Linked DNA regions of Ovis aries. The protein of the gene in region 1 interacts with the protein of each later gene in a pairwise test. Links are inferred from orthologs where the notes say so. Each region holds a gene or a part of one and is shown in the gene's direction. Other genes may lie near its edges.

Evidence for each region.
Region 2: the proteins of GTPase IMAP family member 5-like (region 1) and EDA interact in binary tests that used the Homo sapiens proteins (3 or more experiments, as listed by UniProt). The two-hybrid records come from large-scale screens. The link is inferred for Ovis aries from reciprocal best matches to the Homo sapiens genes GIMAP5 and EDA.
Region 3: the proteins of GTPase IMAP family member 5-like (region 1) and LSMEM2 interact in binary tests that used the Homo sapiens proteins (3 or more experiments, as listed by UniProt). The two-hybrid records come from large-scale screens. The link is inferred for Ovis aries from reciprocal best matches to the Homo sapiens genes GIMAP5 and LSMEM2.

The regions. Positions count from the first base shown.
Region 1 is NC_056057.1:114,126,094-114,129,739, forward strand, and holds part of GTPase IMAP family member 5-like, read left to right. Parts: intron 1-927; 5' UTR 928-933; coding exon 934-976; intron 977-3,065; coding exon 3,066-3,646. UniProt on the Homo sapiens protein: Plays a role in T lymphocyte development and the optimal generation of CD4/CD8 double-positive thymocytes. Inhibitor of GSK3A, possibly by sequestering GSK3A in cytoplasmic vesicles and impairing its translocation to the nucleus.
Region 2 is NC_056080.1:62,926,998-62,930,643, forward strand, and holds part of EDA (ectodysplasin-A), read left to right. Parts: intron 1-1,090; coding exon 1,091-1,270; intron 1,271-3,138; coding exon 3,139-3,173; intron 3,174-3,646. UniProt on the Homo sapiens protein: Cytokine which is involved in epithelial-mesenchymal signaling during morphogenesis of ectodermal organs. Functions as a ligand activating the DEATH-domain containing receptors EDAR and EDA2R. May also play a role in cell adhesion.
Region 3 is NC_056072.1:50,135,301-50,139,611, reverse strand, and holds the start of LSMEM2 (leucine-rich single-pass membrane protein 2), read left to right. Parts: upstream 1-1,368; 5' UTR 1,369-4,311. Other genes in the region: SEMA3B (semaphorin-3B), read left to right, coding at 1-18, 111-250, 608-1,009.

The DNA.
Region 1 (3,646 bases):
CTGACGAAGTAAAATACAGGCTCAGAGTTCATCTTAATTATAGTTGCACATTGCAGGCTTGCCTTTTCTAATGGACGCTTATCTTTTCTAGCACCAAGAAGAATGACACAATAGCATGCCTCAGCTGAATGAAACCTTTATCTCCACGGTTTTGCCAATTTCTGGTGACATTGACTGGGATTTTTAAAAGTGGCTATTGATTTAAAGACATTTGATTTAAAACTGAGCAGGCAATGACTTTATCCTGAATTTGTCCCAAATGTTGCTGCTGTCCCTCAGTCAGGGCACCAGTTTCTCTCCCCCCAGCTGCTCAGAGGGAAGGAGGTGGTGACCATGTTCGGGCCTCTTCCCCTTCTCCCTCTCATGTCCATCCTCAAAGGAGCCCTGGACCCCAATTCCACACTCCCACTGGAAGGTGCATTGTACTTTCCTCTTTGCCACTGGAATATTCATCTGATACAAAGAGTTTCTGGGATTGGAAATGCCTGGTAATTCAACAAAGCACTATTCATTTACAGTAAGGCAACTTTTATTCTCTAGTCTAGCAAGTTTGCCTACTCTGATTCTAATAATAATAATAATAAAATAATAAAAAGCCCGGCTTCTCATTCCTAGAGGAAGGCTTTCTATATTTCACACCTTTTCAGCTTGAAGGGAGATAATCAACTGATGTGTATTCAAACATTTCTTGCTTTCCTGTAGAATGAGAAAAAAGCAAGAGTTCACTGTGTTAACATAACCTAGCATCACCCGCCTTGCTTAAAGTTATATATGGATATTTGAAAGCAAAGTATAAGTTAGAAAGTTAGCAATGGAAATGACTCATGTAAGGATAATTATTTTGGCTGTCTAAATTGGAGGTGTTCTCAGGCCTTACCAGCTCCTATAAGGACACTTGCTTTTATTCCTTTCTTCCTTTTATTCCAGAAGCGAATGGAAGGACTTCAGAGGAGCAGATACGGAACCATGGCTGAAGGTAAGAAACCCTCCAAATTCTCAAACTTTCTGGGCACCAGGCGAAAATCACTGTCTTCCCTCCTCCACTCCCTGACCTCAAATATTAAGACAGAAGAGAAACCCAATTATTTTAAACTGCAGGAGAAAAAGGTAGCTATCGTGTTCTTTGGGCTTCCCTGGTGGTTCATCTGGTAAAGAATCCACCTGCAATGAGGGAGAGCTTGGTTCGATCCCTGGGTTGGGAAGATCCACTGGAGAAAGGAATAGCTAGCCACTCCATTTTTCTGGCCTGGAGAATTCCATGGACTGTATAGGCGTAAAATAACAGATTTTAGGAGCCTAGAATGAATTTAATTCATTTGAGCTTATAAGAACTCCAGAAATCCTTGCATTCTCACTCTCTTCATCCCTAGAAGACTTAGCTCTTGGTACAGAGTGACCTCGCCAACACCACTTTTGTTATAATTTCTTATAATTCTATCAGCGACAGCAATGATCTTTCCAAAATATGTATTTCTAACATTCTTATCATCTCTTCTTCAGCCACCCATCCAGGGTCATCTGTCAGACTCTGTCCCTGACATTAACCACAAGCCTTCCCAATATTCAAATCCCTACCCTAAGAGCAGAAACCCAGGGACATTCGGCTGGTCCTCAGTGGGAGGTCATTGAGACTCTAACATCTGAGACTTCCTTTACTCCCAGGGTTCAGATGACTGTGATGAGCAGTCTGTGTGCCTGGGAACTGGTGGGTGAAAAGCAGATGATAATATTTTCTCATTTATGATTTATCCTCACCTCCTTGTAATTTCACCTGAGATTAGCATGAAACTGGCCTAAGTAACATCATGGGAAAAGCAAAGGATCACTTTTCTTTCTGAAAACCTGTATTTTCATTGGTCCTGAAGAAGTCCTTGGAGCATCCTTCATAGTGTAGCTGTTCTGGCTCTTGGCTATGGGTCCAAGCTTGGGCTCCCAATGTGGGCTTCCTACCAGTCAAGAGCCACCCAAAGTTGTATGCAAACACCTGTACGATTTTCATATCACTGTTTGGCAGAGAGAGGTCCATAGCTTTCATGAGATACCATGAAAGGTCAGTGACAGAAAAATCTTATGAATCACTAGCTTTACCAACAGAGACCTACTGTATGGCACAGAGAACTCTGCTCAATATTCTAAATAATCTAAATAGGAAAAGAATTTGAAAAAGAAAAGATACACACATAGGAATGACTGACTCACTCTGCTGCACACCTGGAACTGAAACAACAGTGCTCATCATCTTGTTGCTCAGTCGCTCAGTCATGTCCTCCTCTGAGACCCCATGGACTGCAGCACACCAAGCTTCCCTGTCCTTCACCATCTCCCGGACTTTACTCAGACTCACGTCCACTGAGTCCATGATGCCATCCAACCATCTCATCCTTTGTTGTCCTCTTCTCCTCCTGCCTCCAGTCTTTCCCAGCATCAGGGTCTTTTCTACTGAGTCAGCTCTTCTTCGTTTCAGGTGGCCAAAGTATTGGAGTTTCAGCTTCAGTATCAGTCCCTCCAGTGAATACTCAGAGTTGATTTCTTTTAGGATTGACTGGTTTGATTTCCTTGCAGTCCAAAGGACTCTCAAAAGTCTTCTCCAACACAGTTGGAGAGAATAGTTCAAAAACATCAATTCTTTGGTGCTCAAACTTCTTTATGGTCCAACTCTCACATCTATACAGGACTACTGGAAAAAACCATAGTTTTGACTAAACAGATCTTTGTTGGCATAGTGATGTCTCTGCTTTTTAATACACAGTCTAGGTTTGTTATAACTTTTCTTCCAAGGAGCAAACATCTTTTAATTTCATGTCTGAAGTCACCATCTGCAGTGCTTTTGGAGCCCAAGAAAATAAACTCTCTCACTGTTTCCATTGTTTCCCCATCAATTTGCCATGAAATGTTGGGACTGGTGCCATGATCTTAGTTTTCTGAATATTGAGTTTTCAGCCAGCTTGTTATCTGCTTCAAGAGTAAATAAAAATTTAAAATTAAAAAAAAAAAAAAGAATCACTAGTATGGTAAAACAAGATAATTCTCTCTCTCTCTCTCTCTCTCTCTTTTTTCTTTTACAGAACATCAGGGCTTTGAACCCTCCTCCTCGTTGAGGATCATCCTGGTAGGAAAAACAGGCAGCGGGAGAAGTGCCACTGGGAACAGCATCCTCTGCCAGCCCGTCTTTGAGTCCAAGCTGGGGGCCCAGTCGGTGACCAGGAAGTGTCAGAGGGCAACAGGCAGGTGGAATGGGAGGAGCATCCTGGTGGTGGACACACCCCCCATCTTTGAGGCCGGGGCCCAGGATCAAGAGGTGTACCAGAACATTGGGTCCTGCTATCTGCTGTCAGTGCCAGGGCCCCACGTGCTGCTGCTGGTGACCCAGCTGGGGCGCTTCACCGAGCAGGACGTGGTGGCCGTGACCAGGGTGAAGGAGGTCTTTGGGGCAGGAGCCGAGAGATACATGGTCATCCTCTTCACTCACAAGGAGGACTTGGCGGGCGGATCCTTGGATGAGTACGTGGCAAACACAGATAACCTCAGGCTGAGGAGCCTGGTCCGGGAGGTCGGGCGGAGGTACTGCGCCTTCAACAATCGGGCCTCTGGGGATGAGCAGAGAGAGCAGCTGGCCCAGCTGATGGCCGTGATCGAGGAGCTGGAG
Region 2 (3,646 bases), on another chromosome or scaffold:
AAGAGAGCAAGGAGGAAATGGGGAGGATCTGGTGGCTTGATTAATAAATACATTCAAGAATAGGGCCTCTGAGGAAAGAAGACTCTGGGAAGCTAGATTATTTAGCCTATAAAAATAGAAGTTGATAGGTGACTTAATGTCCTTGAGCACATTAGGGTTATTGTCTGTATGATGGCAACTATTCTTTTCTACCTATACAAACAATAGTATAAGAGCTTAAACTTCCACAGGAGGAATTTCAGTTCAATATACAGAAGAGCTTCCTAACAGTGAGGGGGTGATAAACATTGGAACATGTTACCAAGGGATTCTGCAGAATTTCCTTTCCCAGAGCTCTTTAAAAGTAGAGTTTAGAGAGGTGAGCTGAGAAAGCAAAACCTGCCTGCTGCTTCCTCCACAGCTCAGCTCCCTCTGGTCTCCACTACCCCTTCTTTCCTTATGTTACTTGAGCCTTCTCTCTCGCTCTTTCTCTCCTCCCTCCCCCAACCACCTCTCATCTTCCCAGACTCCTTCCAATTCTACTTTCCAGCCTCATCCTAGCTCAAGTCCCTGTACATCCTGACTCCTAGAGGAAGCCTTCCTGGAGCTGATAGTCATCCTAAGGTCAAGCTGGCCTCCGAGCTTGCTAGCCTCATCCACATCAAGCCCACCAACCTGGATAGTAAACATGAGAGCCACGCTCTGCAACAGTAGCCCAGTTCTCAATTGTAAAAAGTGGCCCACTTTTTAAGGTCTACCCACTTGGTGATTCTGATCCTTTGGACTTGGCCAAACGGTAACCTCCTTTTTTAAGCTTCCTGACCTCTCCAGCATTTTGTCCCTACAATTAATGCAACATTTCTACTGTCCTGTGACTGTGTCTGTTTCCACACAAGACCAAATTCCTTGAGGGTCATTATTTCTTCAAACCCAGCCTGTAAATGCTGATTCATGAAACAAAGTGTGTGTGTGTGATGTGTGATAACAGTATACACCTCTTTAAGAGCAGGAACTCCCGGAGGGCCAACTTTGTGTCATGAGAAAGCTGTGGAACTCCCGACAGTACACTCAGTCAGTAATTATAAATGTGATACCGAATCTCATCTTTCAGGAAAGAAGGCAGGACCTCCTGGACCCAATGGCCCCCCAGGACCTCCAGGACCTCCAGGACCCCAAGGACCCCCAGGGATTCCAGGGATTCCTGGGATTCCAGGAACAACTGTTATGGGACCACCCGGCCCTCCAGGTCCTCCTGGTCCTCAAGGACCCCCTGGCCTCCAAGGACCTTCTGGTGAGTTCCTCCATCTCTCCACCATCCTAGGTTCCTTAAAAGTTCTCTAATAGAACAGGAGCAGGTGATCCCAAGAGCAGTTTAAAATAACAGTATGTGGTCTCCTTGCTCAGTGGAGAGCTAGGAATTGGACAAGCCAGTAGAACCTGCCCTGCTCTAACTTCTTATTTATGGGGCTTCCCAGGAGGTGCTAGTGGTAAAGAATCTGCCTGCCAATGCAGATGTAAGAGACACTGGTTTGATTCCTGGGTCAGGAAGATTCCCTGGAAGAGGGCATGGCAACCCACTCCAGTATTCTTGCCTGGAGAATCCCATGGATAGAGGAGCCTGGTGGGCTACAGTCCTTAGGGTCGCAAAAAGTCAGACACGACTGATGGTGTGTGGTCTCCTAGCTCAGTGGAGAGCTAGGAATTGAACAAGTCAGTAGGGCCTGCCTTGCTCTAACTTCATATTTATACCAACCTGTCAAGGAAGAGATACCTGTTCTTGACCTGTGGATTTTGTCTCCCGATTTCCAGCATCTAGCCTCACATACTGATGTTTGATTAGAAAAAGGCAAAGGGTAGGAATGGGCTTCCCTAGTGGCTCCCAGGTAAAGAACTCATCTGCCAATGCAGGAGATGCAGGTTCGATCTCTGGCCCAGGAAGATCCCCTAGAGATGGAAATGGTAACCCACTCCAGTATTCTTGCCTGGGAAATCCCATGGACAGAGGAGCCCAGTGGGCTACAGTCCATGGGGTCACAAAGAGTCAGACACGACTTAGTGACTAAACAATAACAACAACATGGAGAGGAAAGTTCGGGGCTGGACAGAATGACAAGCCCTAGAGTAGTCTCATCCCCTGAACTCTGAAGTGCCTTTCCCATAGAGCTAGACCAGTAGTCACTGATAATCAAGGAGTTGGAAACTTATGAGTCACTCAGGCTGTGGAAGAAGCAGACACAGGCACCAAGACCAGTCTGTTGAGGAATCAAGTGCTTACTGTGCTACATCCTTCCCCTACCACGTTGCCCATTTGAATAGCATTTAACCTCTTTGCATCTTTCCCCTTGGGCCCAGAAGGCCATCCCAAAGGCACAGATGCAGATCCAAACCTGCCTAGTCAGAGTTGACAGGGGTCAGACTGCCGGGGCTTAGGTCAGCTGCTGTTTCCTTCTCCTGCTCCCCTCATCTTGGGGCTTTTACAGAAATGGACTCTTCACAGCTGATTTCTCTGGGTCCAAGAATACTGCCACAAGACTCATATTCTTTGACTGGTAGTTCAAACAGAGCTAATCAGTGTCATTGTGGCCCCAAGAAATGCAGTTTGGAATTTTTTTTCATCCCATCTTTCTACAAATATTCATTGCATACTTTCTATGTGCAAGAGATATATTGACTGGTGGAATTTATGTCGTACAGGAGAATGACAATTAAAGAAGCAAGATGTGTACAAATGGCAATGCATTCTACAGAGAAAATTAATAGAAAGAGAACAAAAGGCTAAAGAAGCAAGTACCATTGTCTTGGGGTCCCACGGTGGCAGGAATGCACTCTCCTCTGTCACCACGGGTGCTCAGTGGCACTTGCCTTGGGCCATTGTTGACGAGGGGCCAGTTTCCTGCTGGGTGCTGGGCGCATTGAAGATGCAGGTCAGGGACAAGTCAGAGAAGAAAGGGGTGTCATCTCCCACTCCAGAGCCCCGCACCCTGACTCCCTCCAGCTCTGAGTTGTGGAAAATAAGGCTCAGTTGATGCTTGGCAAAAGGCTCAGACTGAGCCTGGCTTGGCTCAGACAGGGAGCAAAAGCTCAGTGCCATTGGCTGCCTAGATGAAGAGAAGCAAGTAGACAGAGCATGCCCTCTGACTGGCCTGTCCTATTTTGCAGGTGCTGCTGATAAAGCTGGAACTCGAGAAAACCAGGTTGGCTGGGAATTGCTGTCTTGCTGGGAAGAAGGGAAGGCCACCCTTGAGTTTGCTCCCTGCTAAGTTTGCTGAGGCTTTCTTTTGTGAGGAGACCCTGGAGGTTCTGGGGGCTTTTCATTCACAGCCCCCTCCCATGAATAGAAAAACTTTGCCCTAGGGCCTGCTTTTAGCAAGAGAACTGAGCTGTGGCTATTTTTCCCCATTCCCTAGGAGACAGAGGGTCACCACAGCCAAGCCCAATAGTCAGCTGACATGAGCTGGCAGTGAGGTCTATTCACCTGGTCCTGGGCCTCCCCAACTACACCAGACACCTTGTCGGCATTCCAACCACCTGATGTCAGCAGCTTAGAAGTTTAAGAATATGTTCTTGAAAATCAGCCAACCAGTTCCAGGTCAAGCCCAGCCTGGCCTTCTGCCTTCACAGCCTGAAGGGCTCCTCCCTAGTCTCTGAGCTTCCTGATCCATCTCTA
Region 3 (4,311 bases), on another chromosome or scaffold:
GCACACTGTGTTCCGGGGGTGAGTGTCTCAGCTGCTCTCATCCCTCAGCGCTTAAAGACTGCCCCACCCTGTCCTGCTTTGCCAGAATCTGACATTCGCTTTGCCCCCAGACTCATCCCACCCTGCGCTGCTGGAGCAGAAGGTGCTGGGTGTGGAGGGAGGTAGCGCCTTCCTGGAGTGTGAGCCCCGCTCGCTGCAGGCGCACGTGGAGTGGACCTTCCAGCGCGCGGGGGAGTCTCCCTACACTCAGGTGAGCCTCCCCCTACCCCCTCTCCAAACAGGCCCGGTTCCAACCCTAATGTCCAGAAAGTGCCAGCCCTGATTAATGAGGCCCTTAGCCCGCTCCGCACGTCTACATGCGATCCAGCCCCACCCTGTGAGTCTCAGGCCAATCAGACCCCTAACGCCCAATTTGGTCCCTGGCCCGCAACTCCGCATCCAGGTGAGGCCCCATTCCTCTAACTAGGCGCCTAACATCCCTGCCCGGTCGGAGAGAAGCCCTGCCCTCTCCTCGCCCACTGAGCTCTCCGACCCGCCCTCACTTGCAGATAAGCTCCGCCCCCCCGCCGTTCCCTAAAATCCTCGCCTCCCGCTGATCCACCGGCAGGTGCCTGCGGAGGAGCGGGCGGAGCGCTCGAGGAGGGGATTGCTGCTGCGCGGGCTACGGCGTGGGGACTCCGGCGTGTACCTGTGTGCAGCGGTGGAGCAGGGCTTTTCGCAGCCACTGCGTCGCCTGGCGCTGCACGTGCTGAGCGCAGCACAGGCTGAAAGACTGGCCCGGGCCGAGGATACTGCGCCAGTCGCCCCGCCGGGCCCCAAGCTCTGGTACCGGGACTTTCTGCAGCTGGTGGAGCCCGGCGGCGGTGGTGCGAACTCCCTGCGAATGTGTCGCCCGCAGCCCGCGCCGCGCCCACAGGTCCCTGAGTCACGGAGAAAGGGCCGCAACCGGAGGACACACGCCCCAGAGCTGCGGGCTGAGCGGGGCCCGCGCAGCGCAGCGGACTGGTGACTTGGCCGTCCCCACGCTGGGGACTGGGGAGGAGGCGGCAGGAGGGAGAGGGGGCGCTCAGACCCTGGGAGACGGCTAGGGGCCGGCGTTTCCTGATGGAGGGAAGACACCGACCGACAGGCCCTGGCCAAGGGGCAGCCATGCTGGCTTATTTATTAACAAGAGGATAACCCTTGAATGTAACCCCAATAGGGGCGGCCTAGGCTGAGCACAGGGTCCGGCTGGTCGGGAGGCAGCAGAGAAGCAGGGTTCCCCGGGTACTTGGGTGGGAGTGGTGCCCGGAATGCCCACCCTGGGAGAAGGACCACCTCTTTGGGCAATGAGCAGAAAGCTGTGAACAGGCTGGGTGGGTGGGGTGGGGCAGGCCGACTGTACTAATGCAATAAACACATTTTCAGCCAAAGCTGGAATGGCCCCAGCAGACAATTGCTGGTCTTAGTGTTACCGACCCAGGTTCTTGGACTCTTTAATCAATAGAAGTTGATAAGAGGCCAGATGAGAAATTCAGGCAAGGCTTCAAGGACTCATGCTGCAGAACAAGGGAGTGAAAATAAGCCACAGGTGCCCAACTAGCAACAGGTGCTCTCCCTTGCTTGTGCTGGGGGTGGGGAAGGAGGGCAGGAGGGGTGAGTTGGTTCCTTAAATGGGGTGAGGGTAGGGTCAGATCCATGGTTCAGGCAGTAGGGTGGCTTAGGTGGTCAGCCTGCCCCCTTGTGGTGGTGTGGCAATTGGTTTTCTGGTCTGTTTTTTTGGGGGGGTGTCTTTTTTGTATCTTGTTTATAATTTGCCCCAACCGCAGGTTTATATAGTTGCTTTTAGTTGCTTACAGCAGGATTCCCCAACCTCCAGGCCTAGGACTGACACTGGTCTGTAGCCTGTTAGGAACCCGACTGCACAGCAGGAAGTGAGTGGAGGGCAAGCCAGCGAGCAAAGCTTCTTCCTCTGCGTCTTTCCATTGGTTGCTTTACCAGCTGAAATCAACCCCATCCCTCCCATCTGGTCCCTGGAAAAACCTGTCTTCCATGAAACCAATCCCTGTTGCCCAAATGGTCAGGGGACTGCTGCCTTACAATCTCTCTGTAGTCCGTTGCTCCAAGAGATGTTTGTCCAGGTGAAGTACTACAGCATAGGGTCCCATGTCTGATTCCCCTCTAGGGGGTTCTACACCCTTTCTTCTTAAGGGTTAAGGGGTTGAAGTTCTCTTCTGAAACCGCAGATCCTAGCCTACCCTAGAGGTGCAGAAGTCCCTCGCTGACTGCTTTCGGGGACCTGGGTTCCCCTCAGCTGGAATCGGTTGAAATCCTTGAGCCATCCTGAGCCTTACTTGAAAACTGTTGGGACCTAGAAGACACAAACTTAACCAAAGGGTTAAACAGACAAGGGCCAAAAAGGAGAACAGTAAAAAGCCAGTAGAGCAGGGGTCACCAACCTCCAGGATCTAATGCCTTGACAATCTGAGATGGAGCTGGTGTAGTAATAGAAAAAAAGTTCACAATAAATGTAATGTGCTCAAGTCGACCTGAAACCATTCCCCTACCCCATGCCCACTGAAAAATTACCTTCCAGGAAGCCAGTGCCTGGTGCCAGAAAGGTTGGAGACTGCTTCACTCAAGGGTCTAGGAAGGGAAGGAACCAGGATAACTTTGACAGGGCTTCCCTAACTGCTGACCAGACAGCGAAGGCGACAGCGCCCCTGCCAAAATTGTGAAGCCATTGCTGCTTGGGTGTCTATTTAACTTTTCTCTTTGCTGTTGCATTGATTTAGGTGCAGCAGGAAGTGTTAGTTACCCCACAAATTGTGCCTTGTTCTGTCAGAAGGTAATCAAGGACTAGATGATTATCAAGAGGTAAATACATTAACCCAAGTAACAAGAGAGGATTAAGTCCCATTAAAGCTTGCTCTTGTTGGTTTTATCACAGAATTAAGCTGTCTGGTGAGATTTCTCAGTGTGGCTTCTTGATAGGGAAAGCTACCCCATGGAGCTACCAGTCCTGTGGCCAGCCCTAGGAAGTGAACATTATTATTTATTTAGGTATTCAGCGGTAGACACTTGGGATCTTTGATTTTCCTTGCAACGTGTGTGATCTAGTTCCTGACTAGGAATGGAACCTGGGCCTCTGGCATTGGGAGTGCAAAATCTTGGCCCACTGGACCACCAGGGAAGTCCCTGAAGTAGACATTGTTAATGCAGTTATAGGCCATAGCTTGGACTTTCCCCGCGGCTCAACCATAAAGAAAACTCCTGCCATACGGGAGACATTGATTCAGTCCCTGGGTTGGGAAGATCCCGTGGGGAAGGAAATGGTGACCGTCTCTAGTATTCTTGCCTAGGAAATCCCATGGACAGAGGAGCCTGGTGGACTACAGTCCATGGGGTTGCCAAAGAGTGGGACACCACTTAGCCGCTAAACAATAAAATAAAGCCTTGTGAATATCAAGTGCCCAGAAGCACCAATTTTCAATTTGTTGTTATAAGAAATGACCACAAGGTGGCAGCATTTCTCCCTGCCCAACTCTTGATTCCTTGGGCAACCAGAGCCTTAGGGGAAAAGTCCCATTCCTGGGTTGTAACTTAGAATGGGATGTGCCAGAAACAACACCCAAGGGCTTGTGTCTTCTTATTTCTTCCACCTTATCCTCCCCCACCCCAGACAAATCCAGAGCCCTGAAAACCGGCTACAGTGAGGGTGCTGAGGGTGCTCTTGGTAGGGTGAGTCTAAGGCAGAAGGTTGGAGGAGGGAACCCCTCAACTGGGAGACCTGAAAACCGGGTGAATTTACAAAGCTCGTCCAGCCCTGGGACTTTCCTGGCAGTTCAGTGGTTAAGACTCACACTTCCAGGGCAAGGGGCCCGAGTTCCATCCGTGGTTGGAGAACTAAGATCTCGCGTTCCATGTGGTGTGGCCAAGAAAATTGTTAAAAATAACTAAAAATGTCAGGGAAAAAAAAAAAAAAACTTCTAGCTCACAGAATCCACCATCCTTTGGGTACGCTAGGCTTGGCTTAGCTAGAGGAGGGTCTGACTGGATCTGGAGACTGTGGTCTTAGCGGAGCAGGCACTGCGGGGCCAAGGGAGGTTCTCTGATGACACAGCCTCCCTCGCCCCCTTAGCTTTACCACCCTCCAGCCTGGAGACCAGGCCTGCTCAGGCTTCAGGGCTGCAACACAGGCCAAGGTGCCAGAAGCCTGAAAAAAAAATAGAGTAGGCATTTCTTTTCTTTCTGTTAAACTTGTATTTTGGCATGTACTTGATTGGTCACTTAGTGGAGTTCAAAGTGTCCAGCGAAATGATCCAGTTACGC